Drosophila melanogaster: one gene and its partners. The protein of the gene in region 4 interacts with the protein of the main gene of each other region in a pairwise test. Each region holds a gene or a part of one and is shown on either strand. Other genes may lie near its edges. The genes, in order: Mic26-27, CG15756, CG30026 and MESK2.

What was found.
Region 1: the proteins of MESK2 (region 4) and Mic26-27 interact in a two-hybrid assay, tested with the Drosophila melanogaster proteins (one large-scale study listed by BioGRID).
Region 2: the proteins of MESK2 (region 4) and CG15756 interact in a two-hybrid assay, tested with the Drosophila melanogaster proteins (one large-scale study listed by BioGRID).
Region 3: the proteins of MESK2 (region 4) and CG30026 interact in a two-hybrid assay, tested with the Drosophila melanogaster proteins (one large-scale study listed by BioGRID).

The regions. Positions count from the first base shown.
Region 1 is NT_033777.3:16,143,899-16,149,051, reverse strand, and holds Mic26-27 (MICOS subunit 26/27), read left to right. Parts: upstream 1-2,196; 5' UTR 2,197-2,477; coding exon 2,478-2,629; intron 2,630-2,692; coding exon 2,693-3,221; 3' UTR 3,222-4,289; coding exon of another isoform or gene 4,290-4,424; 3' UTR 4,425-4,479; coding exon of another isoform or gene 4,480-4,629; 3' UTR 4,630-4,651; downstream 4,652-5,153. Other genes in the region: CG5916 (uncharacterized protein), read right to left, coding at 286-617, 678-1,309, 1,382-1,410; Sb (stubble), read right to left, coding at 4,290-4,424, 4,480-4,629, 4,860-5,153.
Region 2 is NC_004354.4:13,532,493-13,536,740, forward strand, and holds CG15756 (uncharacterized protein), read left to right. Parts: upstream 1-1,907; 5' UTR 1,908-1,980; coding exon 1,981-2,312; intron 2,313-2,373; coding exon 2,374-2,540; intron 2,541-2,605; coding exon 2,606-2,844; intron 2,845-3,152; coding exon 3,153-3,311; 3' UTR 3,312-3,710; downstream 3,711-4,248.
Region 3 is NT_033778.4:11,408,047-11,411,558, reverse strand, and holds CG30026 (uncharacterized protein), read left to right. Parts: upstream 1-2,109; 5' UTR 2,110-2,152; coding exon 2,153-2,693; intron 2,694-2,746; coding exon 2,747-2,892; 3' UTR 2,893-2,983; downstream 2,984-3,512. Other genes in the region: drip, read left to right, coding at 24-164; CG34054 (uncharacterized protein), read left to right, coding at 1,136-1,469, 1,554-1,705.
Region 4 is NT_033778.4:21,500,205-21,505,272, forward strand, and holds the start of MESK2 (misexpression suppressor of KSR 2), read left to right. Parts: upstream 1-1,892; 5' UTR 1,893-2,275; intron 2,276-5,068. Other genes in the region: TAF1C-like (TATA box-binding protein-associated factor RNA polymerase I subunit C-like), read right to left, coding at 1-1,341.

The DNA of each region.
Region 1 (5,153 bases), on a different chromosome or scaffold from region 4:
CTCTGTTAAATTTCAAATTTCGCTTTGATAACTCGACCAGATTTCGTTGGCTAATACTCAAATTGTGTTGACCTTGGCTACAATGGTAATACAAATGCGCGCACATAAGTATGTACTAAATAGAAACGATTACATAATGCACACTCACAATAATGAACATAAACACAATGACACGGCTGAACTACGCTCCTAATAATTGAATTTTCGATTGCTTCTCCAATTTGTTTTTGGTTTTGTTGCTGTTGTTTGATCTATTGGTCATAGAGCCCTTTCCACACTGGCTCCTTAGGCCGGATTAAGCACGGCCACCTTGCGTAGGCTCTCTAGCTCGCTTCTCTTCAAACGCAGACTGAACATGGCCTCAACAAAGCCATGACAGTCCGTCACAATGTTGTCCTGGATCATGGTATCCCGGAATAGATTGGCCAGGGCAGCAATATCATCACAGCCCAGAATGGCGTTCTTGTGAGTGACGAACATGGTTAGGGCGGCACGAAAAACGATCTTGTAGCCCTCGGCAAAGACACAGTCCCATATACGTAGCACAGTCTCCACGGGCAGCACCTCGGCAAAGATGCAGATGAACCATTTGCTGGCGATCACCGGATAGGGCAGGCCTGGAATAAAAAATATGTTAGCAACTGGTTACGGACTTAGTTCTTTAAACTAAATCTTACCCAAGTTATCCACATGCCGATTTACAGCGGGAATTCGCCGGATGACCAATTCGCGGAACACGGCCAGATCCCTCAGCAGATTGGCCATATTATGGGAATGGTATTGCGGCACGATGTTTTCAACGATATGCTTGAGCAGCCAAAAGGACTTCTCCTCATCGTCGGTGACGATCAACAGGAGGCCGGCTATGTAGTTAAGACCTTGGCAGTAACCCACGTCCCGATTGTGATGGGCGTAGGCGATGAGAATGTTGTACAACCGCTGCTTCTTCATATCGAAGTGAATATTGTCGGGGAAGGTACGAGGTAGATCGATTGATATGGAATCGCTGATTTCTTTGTCGAAGGGCTCGGTGCGCAGAAGGTTGCGAAAGAGATCCGGCGAGCGACGCTGGGCGGCGGCAGCTCCAGATATCTTCATCCAGACGTCGGGACGGTATGGACCAGGAATGCCCTTCCGAATGTACCGCTTCAGCTTGGCGTCCACCTGGGTGAGATCGGTATTTTGCTGCAGAATGGCCTCCCATTTCATGCGGCGCCGCGTTAACGTTTTCAGGTAACCATCCATGAACTTTGAGTAGTTGTTATAGTCGAAGTGGTCGCCACGCTTGAAGCCATATTCGTCCACATCGCTAACCACGTGCGGTTTAGATGCGTAAAGATATGCGTAAGTGAAAATAATTACTATATAACTGAATGCTCACCTGAACTTTGAACTTGCGGTAGCATCCATATGAACTATTGACTAGAGTTTCAATTGCTCACAGTGAAGAAGTGTGGATTTCTTCGTCGTTGGCCACGATTTCCTGTCAGCCGTTCGTGGCTCGTGGCATGGCCCCAAAAAAAGATTTCGTATTCGGCGCACGTTGTGCGGTTACGTCGCTGCCTGCGCCTCTACCGCTTCTGCTGCAACTGCAACGGATTGAACCTGCTGCAAAAGTCAATAAATATTGCCTTTAACTGGGGGCCCTTCATTTATTTATAAGCCCATTTGGCCTTGGCTGGCACTACCTCTGCCTACGCCTCGTCCTTGAGCGATGGGTGGCCTTTTGTGCGCGCCCACTCGACGTTGTTGCTGCCTCCGCTGCTGAACTGATAACATTAACGGACCGACGACCGATTTGGGTGGGCGGCCAACGGACAGGTGACAAGGGGGTGGGCGTGGGCGAGTGCGTTGGCTCCGCTTAACGCGCGCTTGCAAATGGTCGATGGCGGATTATTTAAAAGTAGTGATTTCATTGAAGATTGCTGGTCCGCTTATCAGTGGGCTTGAGTTTGCATATTTTTGTTCTTACTGGTGAATAAAATTCGCGTCTTGTGGAAAGTGACCAGAGTCACGAACTGGGAAAACGGTAGAACGGTAAACTAGTTCCATTCTACGATGATTATGATGCGATACATCGAACTGCTTTGTTACATATCGCTTAAAATCGTGTCAATAGAAAATAAACGGTGGATGGCATTTAAAAAATCGGATTTGAAGCAAAAAAATTTAATGATTTCATTCGTTTATATCATCAAATGCAGAAAATAGATGACCTTACAAATTAATCTAATAGCAATACCGATATATCGTGACCACCCTCACACGTGACAGCTGTGAACATCTGTTGCACGAATCACCCACTGCTTTCATTCGTCGTCATGCGTCATTCAGTCGAACCGTGCTGTGACAAATTACGCAATGTCTAACAACTGATGTAAAACAAGCAATTTACCAAACAGTTGGCCAAATTCCGTGTGTACACACACTCCGATCGACCCAGCGAGGCACTTTAACCAGCTCCTGACCACTTCGAGATGCTGCGCAAAACGGCAACGATGGGAATCATGGCGGCGGTTGCCGTTAAAGCGGCTCCCGAGCCCCAGAAACCAGCCTCCAGTGCGGCGGACTGCAGCCTGGTGTGCCGGCCCAGCGAGCTGCCCATCTACGGCAGCTTGCGCAAGACAGAGTGAGTGCCCCAATGCAAGAAAAAGGTCCCAGCCTTAACGATACTCCTTTAATGCTACCGCAGACCCAAGCCAGAACGGCATCCACCACAAGACTCTGTGCTGCACAAGAACCTGGAGGCCGGAGTCCGCTATGTGCGCGAGGAGGTGCAGTCTGGATATAAGGCAGTGGCCGATCAAGCCGGCATTGTCGGCCATTACGTGGAAACCGCTAAGGCACACACCCAGTCCACCATCGACATGCTGAACGAGCCCCAGAACTCCCTGCACCGCAGCGGAGCCATTGTGGTGGGCGGTCTGGCTGGTTTCATCTTCGCCGCCCGTGGAGGCTTCATAAAGAAGGTGTTGTATTCGGGCATCGGAGCAGGTGCAGTCGCCTCCATGTGCTACCCCCGCCAGGCGGAAGAAAACTGCCGCGTGGTACTCTACGAGGGCCGTAAGATCTTCGCCGTGGCCTACAACTTCATCAAGGGCGTAAAGCCAGGAGAGGATGTTCCCGTAGTGCCCTTCCCTACCTCGCTGGAGGACCTTAAGTACATGGCCAGTGACCTGTACGATGAGGCAAAGGATCTAATCTTCCCCAAAAAGAAGTAGGAAGTGCCCTCCCGCTAAAGGAAACTCCTAGTCCACCTCCATCCGGGCGAAAAGTGTGCATCGATTTAAGTTGTATGAAGCTTGAATTCTATCCGAAAGTAGTTATCTCTTTTCTTGTTGCCAGAAATAAATTGGCCTCGCGTCCCAAAAGTGAAACGGCGGTTTAACTTGGCAAATGTGTGTGGGCCGTGGCCAGAACCCGCTCTCACATGAATCTTCGAGTGATTAATTGAGGTGTTGGTGTCAAGTCAAATGTCACGCCAGTGAGCTGTTGAAAAGTGAAATCCGGAGGAAAGTGTCGGCTGCGGATGTCTCCCATCCTCCATCTCCCCACGTGCAAAACCGATTGTGCCAATCATCATCGTCAATGACCATGGCCCGCAGCCGAACATGGCGATGACTACAAATTGTGTGAATGGTCTTGGCCATCCATTTGCGGTGCCCTCGGGGGCTGCTATTGCTGAGGAGGAAATCGGCTCTTATAGCGATGGGTATCTCGAGCGGACCAATTCTCCGATTGCGGCATTATTTATTAGACAATATTTTCATTAATCTTTTATTGCTCTCGAGCTTTCGCATCGCTATAGATAGACTTGTTCTTTGGGCAAGATACAAACAACGTTCGGATGTCTGCATGCATTTGTTTACAATAAATATAGATTTAGTTAATTGTTAAATATTACTACACTAAAATACCAACAACTTGTGGACATGCAAATGACTCCCAATCCCCCCTACCCCTCCCAAGCCCCCTATCCCTTCGGCTATGTACAAATAGATAATCCCATTCGAAATCCGACCGATTTCCTTGTTAGACAACTTACGGTGCTAACATTTCGCTAGACTAAATTAGTGGGCGTTGACTGTGTGTGTGTGTGTGTAGGTGAATGGGTGAGTGCGGATAGGGGCGTGGCAGTGGCCCACAAGGCCATGATGTTAAAATTGTTAAATTGAAGCTAACTACGCTTAACATTCCTTTAAGATAAATCACACAAAACTTATAGATACAACTGATAAATTAAAACAAATAACAAAAGTAGATCTGCCGTCGTCAGTATCTTCTGATCATCATCTGACATGCTCCAGTATCCACGGCGTAAACTTGGAGATTCTCGTACAGACTCCGGGCAAATTGGCCTCGGCACAGCCAATGCCCCAGGAGATGATCCCGGCCAGAAAGAAGCGCCCATCCTGCGACTTGGCCTGCAAAATGTTTATTAGCATATATCTCGTAGGTTTGCTTTATCCGGCATCTCACCTGCAGTGGACCTCCTGAATCGCCCTGACAGGAGTCCTGCCCTCCCGTTTCATAGCCCGCGCACAGGAATATATCCGGAATGAACTCCTGGCGACCAGCTCGCATGAACATCGATTTGCAATTATCGTTACTTACAATCGGCACGGAGACCTATTAAAATGTATTAGATTACATTTGTGTCTTGCATTTAACTTTATTTTTAGATTTATGATATATATCTTTTGATTCACGTTGGAAATCCCTTTTATGATCTCTCTGACTTTTCCTAATTGCAATCGCCCCATTTAGAACCACACCGACAATTTTTTGCGTTCGATTCGCAGCGGTTATCATTGTCGCTGAATTCTAAAAATGAAGCTTAAAGTCGTGTTAACACTCACCTCTTGGAGGACGGAGGGCAGGGTGCCGCCCTCGCTGAGACGACCCCAGCCGGTGACCGTGGCGTTCATGCCAATTAGGAGGCTGTCCGTCTCGGGCAGGCAAATGGGACTGACATGCGGCGCGAATTCGAGCGGCTGCTCCAGCTTGACCAGCGCCAGGTCGTATTCGTACGTGAGGAAGCTATACTTGGGATGCACCACCTTCTTGGCCACCCCGCGCTCTATGTAGGGCAGCTGTTCCTGCACATGCGAGAAGTCGTACTCGCCCACGCGGATGCGTATCTGCGAGATGAG
Region 2 (4,248 bases), on a different chromosome or scaffold from region 4:
TGTGCGCATCGCTCCGAATTTCAACTGCACATTCGAACTCCTTTTTACGATGCCTTTGGCATTTACATGCGAAATATCTTAAGTCCCTGCCATTAAAACTCAAACGAATGCGATAAGATCGGCGTCCGTTAGTCCGGCACCTTAATACACCTTGATAGTCTCAGATGTCAAGAAATGAGTAAAAAACAAAATGAAGATAATAAAGGGTGCGAAAAGTGGGGGAAGTGTTTCCTCATAAATTCTTACATTTATTAATTACGCATGCGGTTTGACGGACTCTCGAGAATTTAATCAGCCAAATTGATGGTCTTAACCCTTGGTTGACTGCTGTGCTTTTTGCCACCTCCTTCCATACGCCGGGAGTAATCTGACTTAGTCCAATATATGATGTGCCAACGATCGATCAAAGATTTCTATATTGCAAAAATTTGCTTTATTAGTTTGATCATTAATTATGCCGCAATTTATTAACAGATTCATTTTGTTTCATTTATCAATTAAATGTCATTTGGCAAAACATTAATCATCACAAGCAAACCAAATCTACGCGATTTGAAGTGTTTGTTTTGTTTGTTACTTTTATTAAAAAATAAAAAAAAGAGTTTCCTACCAAACCGGACTGTATAGATATACATAAATGCTAAAATAAATAAAGCAATGTTATTTTGTATATATACTATAAAGATGATATGGAAAATTTAGCACATACTAGGCACTATTAAACAATCTGCCTCATATCTCTGTCAAATTAATGTCATCACAAACAAAAGCCGAGAAAGACATAAATATCCAACCCAGCGGATGCGATGAATACCAGCTGATGTCCGGAGTCCGGAGCCCGGAGTCTGGAGTCTGAAGTCTGGCATTTATCACATCACTCGTACCCAAGGGTTAAGCAATTAGGGGCAGATGGAGACGCCCACACTGGGCAACCAAATCGATGACCAAATGGAAAAAAAAGCCTCCCGGATCCAAAAAGGGGGTATCGGAAAGATGGGCCAAGTCGATAGCAATGTGGGACGATGACGCGACTGGTCAATGAACCATGTCGATGGAAGTCAGTTGGGGATCAGAATCGGAATCGGAATCGGGATCGGTATGAGTCGTCCTGCATCTGGGCCTGACACACTTCGGTCGGCGGCCGGCGCAACAAACAAATAATCAAACAAACAAACGGAGTAAACAGGCCGAAGGATCTGACGCGTCGGCCCAAAAACGCTGTCAAAATCACAAAAGCCACCGTGACGCCTCACAAAAACCCAAAAAGCCCGACAAAAGAATCGTTCTCGTTCTCGAGGGGGGGGAAGAGATTGGTGGTCAGAGATGTATGTTTCTCGAGGGGAATAAAGAGACGCCTCTAAAGGGTTAACCACAGAGCACAAAGGCAGAACAAACGCCAGAGTAATTATTATGAATGAATTTTCTGTATTGCCCTTGTTAGTGCTGTGGCCAAGTTCCAGAATATGGATTTTCTCAATATAGCTAGAAAATATATGGCAATCTATTCTCGAATTTTGGCTTCAAAACTCTAGTTATATATATATATGTATGCTATATATGGGCAACTACTGATATATTTTAAATTTAGTATATGGTATAGTACTGTCTTGATAAACACTTCATATTTATATGAAATACAGCCAGTTTTGGTGGCAAGAAAGTGTAGCCACATCGGGCAGCTCTGGTTCTGAAGAGCCGTCTGATAAGGAAGAAAAATAAAGGAGTGTGGGTGTTGACCACCAAAGCCATTGCCAAATCATTTGGGCAAAAGAGGGGTTTATTATACTTCAGAACCAGCCTGTTGTCGGCCTTTCTTCATTTGCCACTTTCTTGTTCCTGCTTTTCGCATGGACATTTTTCATCTTTAGTGCCGAAAGACTTCACTCGAGTGGTCTGCGTCTCTTTCGCTGGCCACGGGTATATAAAAGCCAGCGTTTCGCCCCAATGCCACATAATCAATTATTGAATTCTGTGTGCAACATGTTCCAACATTTCAAGCAGATCTATGCTGGGCTGGGTGTCAGTTCTCTGATGGTCACCCTGGCCATCCTACTGCTCCTTCAGCCCGTGGATGCACGCTGGACTCGCAGACCCAGGCGTACCACCACGCCAAGGAGCACCACAAGCATAACCACCGCGAATCCGGATCGTCATCAGCATGTGCACCACTGGCCACCATTGGTGGCACCACCGCCACAGCCTCAACCACAGCCACCAGTGGTTGTGGTGCAGAAGCCAAGTCACACGGAGACCAGTCCCCGTCTCGTCGATAGCTTCGATCAGAGATCACTGGACGGGCAGTACGAGTTCAGGTAAGGTATATTAGAACTCTATAGAACTTCGAGTGCTTATATATATATATTTATCACACAGATATCAGCTGGATAATGGCAACACGCGATATGAGCGCGCCTACTGGCTGCCCGTGGGCAAGGATCTCGTTCTGGCCAAGAAGGGATACTATTCGGTGCCACTGCCAAACGACAAGTACTCCACGGTGTTCTACACCGCCGATCATCGTGGCTACCATGTGGACATGCGTGAGTTCCATTGCCCCAAGGTCCATTCACATTCAAAACCGCTAATGAATTTATCCAAAATGCAGAGACATTATCCGTAGAGCAGCCGCTATTGCCGCGCAGCCTGGAAGTGCCCGGAGTGGAAAGGGATGTGGGATCGGGAATGGGAATGGGCACCGGAATAGCCACGGGTACGGGGACTAAGCGAAATTCAATAAGCGACCCGGAGCGTAACGAGCTGCCTGTGGAAGTGGAAGTGAATGAGGCTGAGGATGTGGATGTGGATGTGGACGCAAGTGATGCTGGCACCGAGCTGGTTCCTAATGTAAGTGCCACCGGGGGTTAGCTTTCCTCGGCGATTTTCAGGGCCCCCATCATATGAGTACACAGGGAAAATGTTTCAAAGGGGATAACCTAACGAAACTAAAGTATAACCTTAAATACTTTGAAACTAACCTTAATATTTAAAATTAAACTGGTAACAGTTTTACAACTACATGTATTTAATGGGAACTGTCAGCTACACATTTTAAAATTGTCGAATAATCATGATAAATCGTGATTTACTTATACAACTCATGTAGGCCATGCTTAATTCAATTTTCCACTGTGCATTTGCCCCCTTTGCTGCAGGCTGTAAACCAAGTCGAAACCGAAACCGAACCATCAACTTTGGCCAACGACATTTTGGCAACTGGAGCACCAGCCGACAGCCATGATGATGATCACGATGACGATGGCGATGAGGATGGGGATGACGATGTTGATGATGATGAAGGCGCCTCAAACTGAAAGCCCGAACATTAGAGGACATTTCGGCATACAGAGAATGGAGATTGAGACTGGCAGGGGAACTGGCACACACTTGGCTGCCTCGCAGCTCGCTCTACTTGCTGCAAATCAAATTGAAAACAATTGTTGCAGTCACCAGTCCGACACAGTTGAGTTGGCCAGTAGTCCCCATATACCATGCAGCAGGATGAGCAGGAGCTGGAGGAGAAGTCAAGTCGACTCCACTTAACTCCATCGTCATCTTCATCTTGGAATTCTAAGGGGAATGTGTCTCAATTGCTCGCTTGACAGCTCCTTTTAGGTCGCTTTCTATGTTTTCTGTTTGCCTCACTCTGTGTGTGAGATGGTATTCTTTTTTTTTTCAATATTTAATAAAAATAAATAATAAATGTAGGATATAAACTTGAAGTGGCTTTTAAATCAAGCTTGCAACTAATAACATAGACGCACTTTCAAAGAGGAGAAAGAGTGGCATACTGCTATTCAACGGATTAATATCTTTAATTCTCTCTTTAACATTGAACATATTTAGTCCTTTACCAATGTAAATGACTCATAAAAAGTTATTTTTAAAAAGCGAGAATTGTCTTGCTAGTGTATTGCTACGAAATTACATCGTGTTCAGACACCGAAACGAGGTACATTGAAGCAATTTCAAATAGTTTAGAGAGGTGTCATAGCCATTTTCAATGGCCCAAAGGGGCCAAAGACCAAAAGCACCGTGTGTGTGTGTGTGTGTGTGTGTGATGATGGCCAAAAGATGAGACATTATGAGGCGTCTGACAAAAACACATTCGAGCCTCAATTTGCCAGCTGCCTGCCGGCTGTCTTTTGTGATGCCTTTGGTGCGCTGCTGCCTTTGCCCGGTTTCAATTTAAATGGTTTCTGGAAAAACGCCCCAAATTGGGTGGCCGTACTGGTGAAAAGGCGATGCCAG
Region 3 (3,512 bases), about 10 Mb from region 4:
GGATGCTAATGTATACATTTCAGCTTAAGAAGGGCTGTACCCCATTTCAAGGTCATGAATCATTGTGGTCACTAGATGCCCTCAGAATCCCTGTAATGGCATGGTTCGCATTTTCAATCCTTTGCATACTACTGATGATGTACTGCGTGCTCACACAAACATAACGTGGATCTCGATACGTGTATTAATTAGGATATTAAGGTATTTTGGTTCTCTTTTTGTGTTTTTATTTTTCTTTAAATATTCCACCGGTATTTTAAGCTGTTATTTATTTTTAGGTTTGATTTTTATCATCATGGAGGAAAAGGACGTTTAATTAAGCCATTGCCATATTCGATCATAAAAGAACTGCAAATATTTGGACATATTTTTATTAACACTAAAATATTCTTAATAAGTATTTTATTAATAAATACGGGCTGGCCCTATATGACACGTTTTTACTCATTAAAATCGACATTCTTTGACTTATTATTTATTATTTATTTATGCTATTATTTGGCCGGGTTGCTTTCCATTTGAATTTACTTATTTTCTACATATAGAAATGTATGTTACACGCAATTAGCCGAGAAACGAACCTTTTTCTTTTGGATAAAGAATTTTTAAATGTCAATACCTAACACTAGAGGGCGCTAAAATGTTTGTAGCAATAGCCGCATAATGTAAAATTAGTCCACCGAATTTTGTAATTGTCTCCTTTTTGCAGGTAATAGTACCGCCGAAATAAAACTTTTTTTCTCTTCTTACATTACAATTTTATTTTCAACCATAATTTGTAACTACTCCTATTCACTTCATTTGCCAGCCTATAAAGACGAAAAGTCGAATTATAAAGTGTTACAAGGTAGGTTGCGCATGCGTGCTTACCAACCCGCAAGTAATTGCAGCGATCCAAAAAGCCATTTTAACCTTAAATTCTGATAAGCATTTTTCGAACCCGCTGCTCAAAATAAAGCAGCGTGTTTGCTCAACCGCTCATTTTGTAGTTTTGAGCATCTAAAGCCTCTCTGTCGATTGGTTTCTGTTATCAGTCCTCCGCTCTTTGCTAGCTAAAGACTAGCTAAACATCGAAGCTGGGGATCTGTTTTAGTATTTAAGCTAATCAGCTTCCGTTAGCACCGTTTGCTATAAAATGTATTTTGGCAAAGTAATTTCACTGTTTCTATTTTGTTTTCTGTTGGGAGGCATTTGGGCTCAGGATGTTATACCAGAGATACCAGAAGATGTTAGGCCAACGGAGCCCACGACAACTACAACAACAGATGCCACAAGAACCTCTACAACAAAATCCACCACAACTACAACAACGGAACCCACCACAACCACTTCAACAACGAAACCCATCACGACTTCAACAACACAAAGGCCTCCCTTTGAGCAACCCACACGGACAACCGAGATTCCTGGGGTGTGGATGCAACCGATAGAAAGATGCTTTCTGAGAAATCAGATGAAGTATAATACTTGTAAGTGCGATGGTATAATGTGATAATAAAGGGGACCGGACCTTGGGTGAATCACATTTCATCTGTTTGCTTTTCAATTTGCAGGCTGGCCAGTCCCACCGAGGGCCACTTGTTATCGCTGCTGCTACTACTACGACAGCCATATCACCGAATGTAGTAAGCTCCACCAAGGGCCTTGTGTGGCGTATGATTATGGCCAACTGAAAGTGCACGTAAATTGGAAACAAGTATTGTAAAAAGAAATTAAGCAGGAACAGAAATAAAAACAGTAAAATGCTTGAACATTAGTTGTGCAACCAGTTATTATAGAAGTTGAGCAATTTTAAAAACAATGGGATGATTAACAAATCGGGCAAATTTGAAATTCTCAAAAATATATATTTTTGCACCGGAAATAAAACAGTTTTTTCTTTGCTCTGGTTAGCAATATTTGTAATTAATTTTTAGTAACATTTATTTACGCAAGCAAATATTTTTAAGTGCCAGCATCTTATTTTTATGAAATTACTTGGCGTTGGGTTTTTCTGTCTTCTACTGTTCTGTTATCAGCCCTCACCTTTTGCGTGTGGGTCGGTTGTGTGTAAGTGTGTTAATGACTGCAGCTCTGTAGCTAAAACCCAAGCACAAGCTACTCAGTTTCAGTACTCGATTCAATCCGCTCACGTCAACACAGCACGCTAAAAATGAAGTCTGCTATTATTTGCGTGTTCTTCATCGCGACTGCAACGTGGGCTCAGGATACAAGGCCAGAAGTTCCCATCTATCTACCGCCGCCCTCTATAACAACGACGACCACAGAGGCACCAGTAACGACCACTATAACAGAGGAGCCAACAACAGAATCCTTGACAACTACAACAACTGAGACCAGTTCCACATTCTCAACAACCGAGCCTGCCGCAACTACAACAACGGAAATATCCACAACTTCGACAACCGAACCAAGTACTACAACTTTAACAACAAAGAAGATCCCATCAACAACAACAGCAATCATCACAACTACAGGAGTAGAAACCTCCACAACTACAACGACAGAAACCACCACAGCTTCCACAACACAAGGCGATCCAATATATCCGACTTACAGACCTCCCTACATGCGGCCCTCGACCTCAGGGATACCTCCCGTTTCTTCCACAAACCCCTGGATCTGGAACAATGGCAATCCGGCAGTAAAATGTTATCTGCGAAATCAACAGGAATACAGAAGTGATTGTTATGGTATGTGTGGTAAATGCATCAAATGCATCATTTATGTAATTTTCAAATTGCAGGAGTGGGTTGGCATCCGACGACAATTTGTTACCGCTGCTGCTACTATGATCAAAACAGAATCGCCGGATGCAGTAAAATTCACCGAGGACGGTGTTCGTGGTACGATTATGCTCGATGGATATCACCGAATTTCTATGTCTATTAAATAATAACATTAAAAGGTGGCGTAACATTGAAATTATATATGAACTGTACATTTCTGTAATAAAACAATTGTTATCCGTTGGGTGTCGAACAAAGAAAAGGTTTTAGTAATTTACTCTCGAAAACTTAAGACAAAGTTAAAAAAAAAGGTTTAAATGCATTTTTATACATGTTAATTAATGTTGAAATATTGTTTAAAATGCTATGAAATATTAATTACTACATACATAAATAAAACCAATTTCACAATAGGTTTTCACAAGAATTGTTATAGCGTAGGAACGTTACAAGTCGCTTATATACTTTTTATAGTTAGCTAAGACACTAACCATGACAAAAACTTGGTTTGTCCACCAAACTCCAGATGGCTCCAAAAAATAGCTCTAGACTTATTCGGAAATTGACTTGAATCGATTCAACGTTTAATGAAATTATGAATGTTTGCATTTTCACAAGCTGTAAAATTAGAAACTATTAGAGAAGATTTCCCACTTTCTTCTATTTGCACAATAGGCCTAGGGTGATATGGAATTTTTCCCATCTGCATATTAACTTGAGTAACACTCCTTAAATAAACAATAATGTCCTCAGATGGGAATCTGTTTTTTTACAGCATTTTTA
Region 4 (5,068 bases):
ACCTAACGCAATATATTCACTGTCCTGGTGAACGCTTGTGTCAATAAAACAGGGTGGATAGGTCATCTGATGCGTCCAGGTGACGACAGCTCGATCGGTCAGCTTTTTACCCAAGCATCTGATATCCAAACAGTGGAAGTTGTGATTACTAGCCACATACAAGAGATTAGGATTCACACCCTTGGCCAAACAAGAGAACCTCTCGCAAGCTTTTGAGTGAACGCCGCTGGCAAAGCAGGGATTCAGAGGCAGATTGCATCGCACATCTACGGTAAACAAAACTGGCTGTGTTAGGCAGTGAAAGGTGCTTTCCTCTGCTTGCTTTAACTGTGCCCAGGTACTCGAGGTTTTCTTCAGTCCTTTTAGCAAGCAAACATCAAGCTTGGCTATATCCTGTTGTGTCGAAATATCCACGAAGCGCAAAGACCTATCCTGGCTAGCTAAGGCCAATGTATTGGCATTGGCCAATGATTGTGCAGCGCTTGTAAAAGGAGCTACTTGACTGCTAAACATGCAATGGCGAATGAGTTCGTAATCTGAATCCGAATCCTGTTCGTCTTTGCATTTAAGTTCGTATAGGGAAACCTCCTTCAGCAACCGTGCCAGGAACATTTGACTGCGATTTAAATTGTGGAGCGGAAGAAGTTCAAAGACTTCGCTGGAGGATTCCTCTATCGTAGCCGAATGCAATGGTTGCCAAAACTCCGCCTCACCATAATCTCGGGAAAAGTGCAAATCTCTGAGCTTATTACCGCTGACATGCATGGCCAGCTGATCGTTTCCATCAAACGGAATCGTGTTTAGGTTTCCGCCTGTGTAGTAGTAATCGTAGCTGTCCCTGAAGAAGGAATTCTCCTGTTGGGCTATGTGCTCAGCCATCTCAAACAGACTGGCATCGTGTACACCTTGCTCCTGCTTCTGTACACGCTGTCTCATATTTTTAAGTCGCCTATCAAATATAGCCTTGCCTAATTGCAATTGCCGTGTCCAATCGTCGTAGCGGAATGGCCTTTGGACGCATGCCTCCACTCGGGGAGTTTGTCCATCCTTTGCCAGGAAGAGGGGTAGCGGCACCGTAACCGAGCAATTTGGCAAGTCCTGCTTCGGATTATCCTGATGATCGTACAAGAGTTGGCCCAACATTCCAGTGTTCAAGCCGGGATAAGAGAAGTGCGGCGCATTTTCCAAAATGCTGCGCAGATTATCTGGCTCATTGTTATCCTCAGCATCTTGATCCGGCGGAAGATCATCTTCGGAATCGGATTCGTTGTCACTAGTTTTGGTCTTGACCTGGGCACTGTATTTGGCCGAATTGAGAGCTGTTTGATAGCGTCGCGGCATGTCTGTAATTGGAGTATAAATAAGAAATCGGATTTTGCTAGCTGGCCGATGTGTTTTGATGCATGTGAGCCTGGCTTACGGATTTCTTCGATCAGCTATCCAGTTCTGCACGAAAGAATTTAGTTAACAAATTGAATTTGACTCAATCAAACGCCAAACGCACGACGTTTCCTCTGGACGCAAGAAACAGCTGATTAGTGATGGGTATTTATGTCTACCCAACCGCATGCTTGCTGTTATGAGCATTACAAGCAAAATATTCACAATATATTAAAATAATATAGGTTTTGGATTATCTATTACATTACATTGGAAGTGCAAAAATGTAACATTGAAAAAAAAAGCATCGTAAAATACCTTTTTAAAGAAATGTAAAGGTTTTAGACACCAATAATAAGTAACATTTACATTTTTAAGTCAAAAATATTTAAGAATCCGATGTTTTGATAAGCGACGATGTATCGCTGGTCGGCGATACTATTTCTAAAATATCGGCTAGCTCGATAGCACCTATATGAAAACATCGATTCCCGATGCATCGATGTTTCTCCCCATCACTATCAAATTTGCTTTGCGCTGCATCGAGACCGAGAATTAAAGACTTGAAAGCAGCTGGAGAAATTACAAGAAATTGATCCCCGAAAATTACTGGCAATCGCGAACAGCGGGCGTGTGTGTGTGTGTGCGTGCGCGCGAGAGCGAGAGAATAAGTGAATGAAACAGAACGAGCACAGAAATTACACAAGTTGTAAAAGAAAAGGTGAAGAAAAAAGTTGGTCGAGACCGAATATTGATTTTTTCATAGACAGTGCAGTTAAAACAACGGTCTCTTTTTGTTAGCCAAAAAGAAGGCGTTGGTAAAAAGCGGTAGTAGTTTTTATCTCAATTTTGAGGCCTACAAAAGAATAGAAGAAAAAGCAACGGAAAGCGTCAGGTGAGTTTTTTAAATCCAACCACGCACACACCTGCACTCACACCTACACTACCGCACACAACGGGCACAATTAACATACATACAAGTGCCAAACAGACAACAAAACAAATGCCAATTGGAAAGGTGTGAAAGAGAGGGGCGGGTCTGGAAGATAACATTAACCAGTTCTAATCCTACTCCCCTCCCTCTCGCTCCGCTTGCATTTGTTTTGTTGCAGTTATCTATTACTCTTCCCTCTCTCTCTCTCTCTCTCTCTCTCTGTCTTATCCTGTCTCTCTCTCTCTGCGCTCGCCCCCATTAAAAAGAAAAGAAAACACACTGCCTCATCTAAAACTTTTCATTTGCATCCCAGTATCTGTTTTTCAATTAGCACTATTGTATATTTTGCGCACTCTTCTTTTTACTTAGTTAACAGTTAGTTGTTGTATGCACGTTTTTGTCGTTGTTGTTCTTGTTGCTCGCCATATCTGTACTAATTCATCCATTTATGATGTTCGTTTTTATTCGTTATTCGTTTTTTTTTTGTGTATGTTTGGCTTTGGTTTCGTTTGGGTTTTCCTCGCTTTTCCTAACTGCTAATTTTTGACAAAACCCAAATGGCTTCTGGCTCTGACGTAATGGACCCCTGCTGCCCTCCCCTTCGCTCCATTCCGTCTCTCTTCCTCTTTATCGCTCTCCCTCTCTCGGAGCTGGCGCTTTTCCACTCTAAACGACCTCCAGAAAACTTCGCCGCAATCATTTCAGCAGCTGCCACAGTGAAGCCTGTGTGCTGAAAACCAAGTTATGCCAGTAAAAAAAAGTGCGGTTGCATGTTGTCCTGGGATTCTAAATTAGTAGGTTTCCTTGATTCCTACACCTTTTTTCCATATTCTGAATTGCAATTAAGTTAAATAAGAAATTTGACGATCTAGGCAATTCGCAAAAAAACCTCAAATCAACTTCGAGTTGATTTTCTAGACAATAGTCGACCAATTTTCCTAACTAAACAAAGGAAAAGCGAAATGGAATAATGGGGTTGTTCATTAAAAGCGACTTGACTGTTATCTCTAATAGTTGCCCTAATTGGTTTACCTATTGGCAGTGTTTACTGTTCCTGCAGACATTTGTTATTCGCTGTTTTGTGAAATTTTATTGCTTCTAGCGGTTTTTGGGTGTGGAAATGAATGGGTGAGGACTCCACTTTAACGGCTCTACTGTAACCTGTCGGCGCCATCGCCATGGACAGGATTTCGTCTCGTCCTCCTGAGTATCTGAGTCCAGTACATACATGTATGTATACGTATCTATATCTGATGTTTAACTTTCCTGCATGTTTAATGCGTAGGTCAGTTTACTCAGAAGGCAAACACAATAAAAAGTTCGCCGCACAAATTGCTTTTGGCGCCTTGTTGCTGCTCCTGTTGTTGTTCTTGTTGTTGTTGTTGTTGACGCTCTTGTTGGCCACTCAGGTGTTTACCAACTTCCCTGGCACCTTCTCCCTTTTCTGCCCTTGGTCTGCTGCGGCTCTGTTTTTATGTAACTTTCAAATCGATTGCAAACACGTAACAGTAGGGCAACCTGCGCCGCCCCTCATTGCCCCACCGTGCCACGCCCCTAGCCTCCCACCTACCCAACTGATATTCTCCCATATCCTGCAACAACACGCTCTGACGTTGAGCGTGTGATTTGGTTCGTTTCGGCTGTACGATTTTTTTTCCTGCTGGCCTGCGGCTTGACATAGCGTGACATTTCCTGTATGTGATTTGCTGCCGTTGTCGGTGCCCCAGAACCCCTGCCACGCCCCCTACCGATGGGGTATCTTGTCTCTCCGCCCCCCAAAGAACATTTGAATAATTTCTGTTTTGCAAATTTGTACCCCCTCCCACATCGGAGGCGATATCCTTGAAGGACTCGGACAAATTGCAGTCAATACAATAGTTGAGCAAGTATTTTTAGGGGCAGCAGAGAACTTGTTGTTAGCCACCTTCCAAGGAAATCGAACACTGAAAGATCTTACAAAAAACAAGAGCCATTAAACGTATTAAATGATAATTTAACAATGAATTATGTATGTAACTACAGCAGACTTCCTTTAAAATTATCTCTTTTCACGTCTAAGTAGAAAAAGATACATTTAAAGCAAATCAAAAGCTCAAGGATTATGTAAATCACTTTTGTTCTCAGAAGAAAAAAAATCGTAATTATTTAGTCTTCTGAGTCGGTAAATCCGAAGTAGCATTGAATCCCAATCAAGTACACAGTTCAGCAGTAGATTGAGTTCAGATTGCTGTCTTGAGCTTCGGTTTGTTGTTGCCCGTTGACCTGCCAACGGTTGCCGTGGGCGACCTGCCAAATTGTCGATATTCCGTGCGCTCCTTTCGCTCCGGGCCGGAAAAACGGAAAAGCCAGGGCACGTCGTTCGCCTGTCGCCGTCCCACTCTAGCCGATGGCTAATTTCAATGGCTCCACGCTGCTTGCACCTCAAGCTCCTCCTCTGCACTCTTCACGTGCAATCGCAATTATGAATAATTCGCCATAAATGGCACACGCTGGGCTGCAATTATTGGAATTGAAGTGGCCCAGATGCCGCTGATAAATCGCTTGCCACCAATAAGCCTATAGTACATTATACATTACTACATTATATGTACATATATATGTAGAAATATGGCGCTAGGCCCATTATATCATATACCATTTCGTGTGGTCGAGGTGAAAAGTGCAAGCGCAACTTTATCAGCGCCCATAAATCGAGCAGCAAAAGGTCAAAGTTGAGCTAGACTAACAGCTTTTTTAGTGGCGAAGGATGGCCGC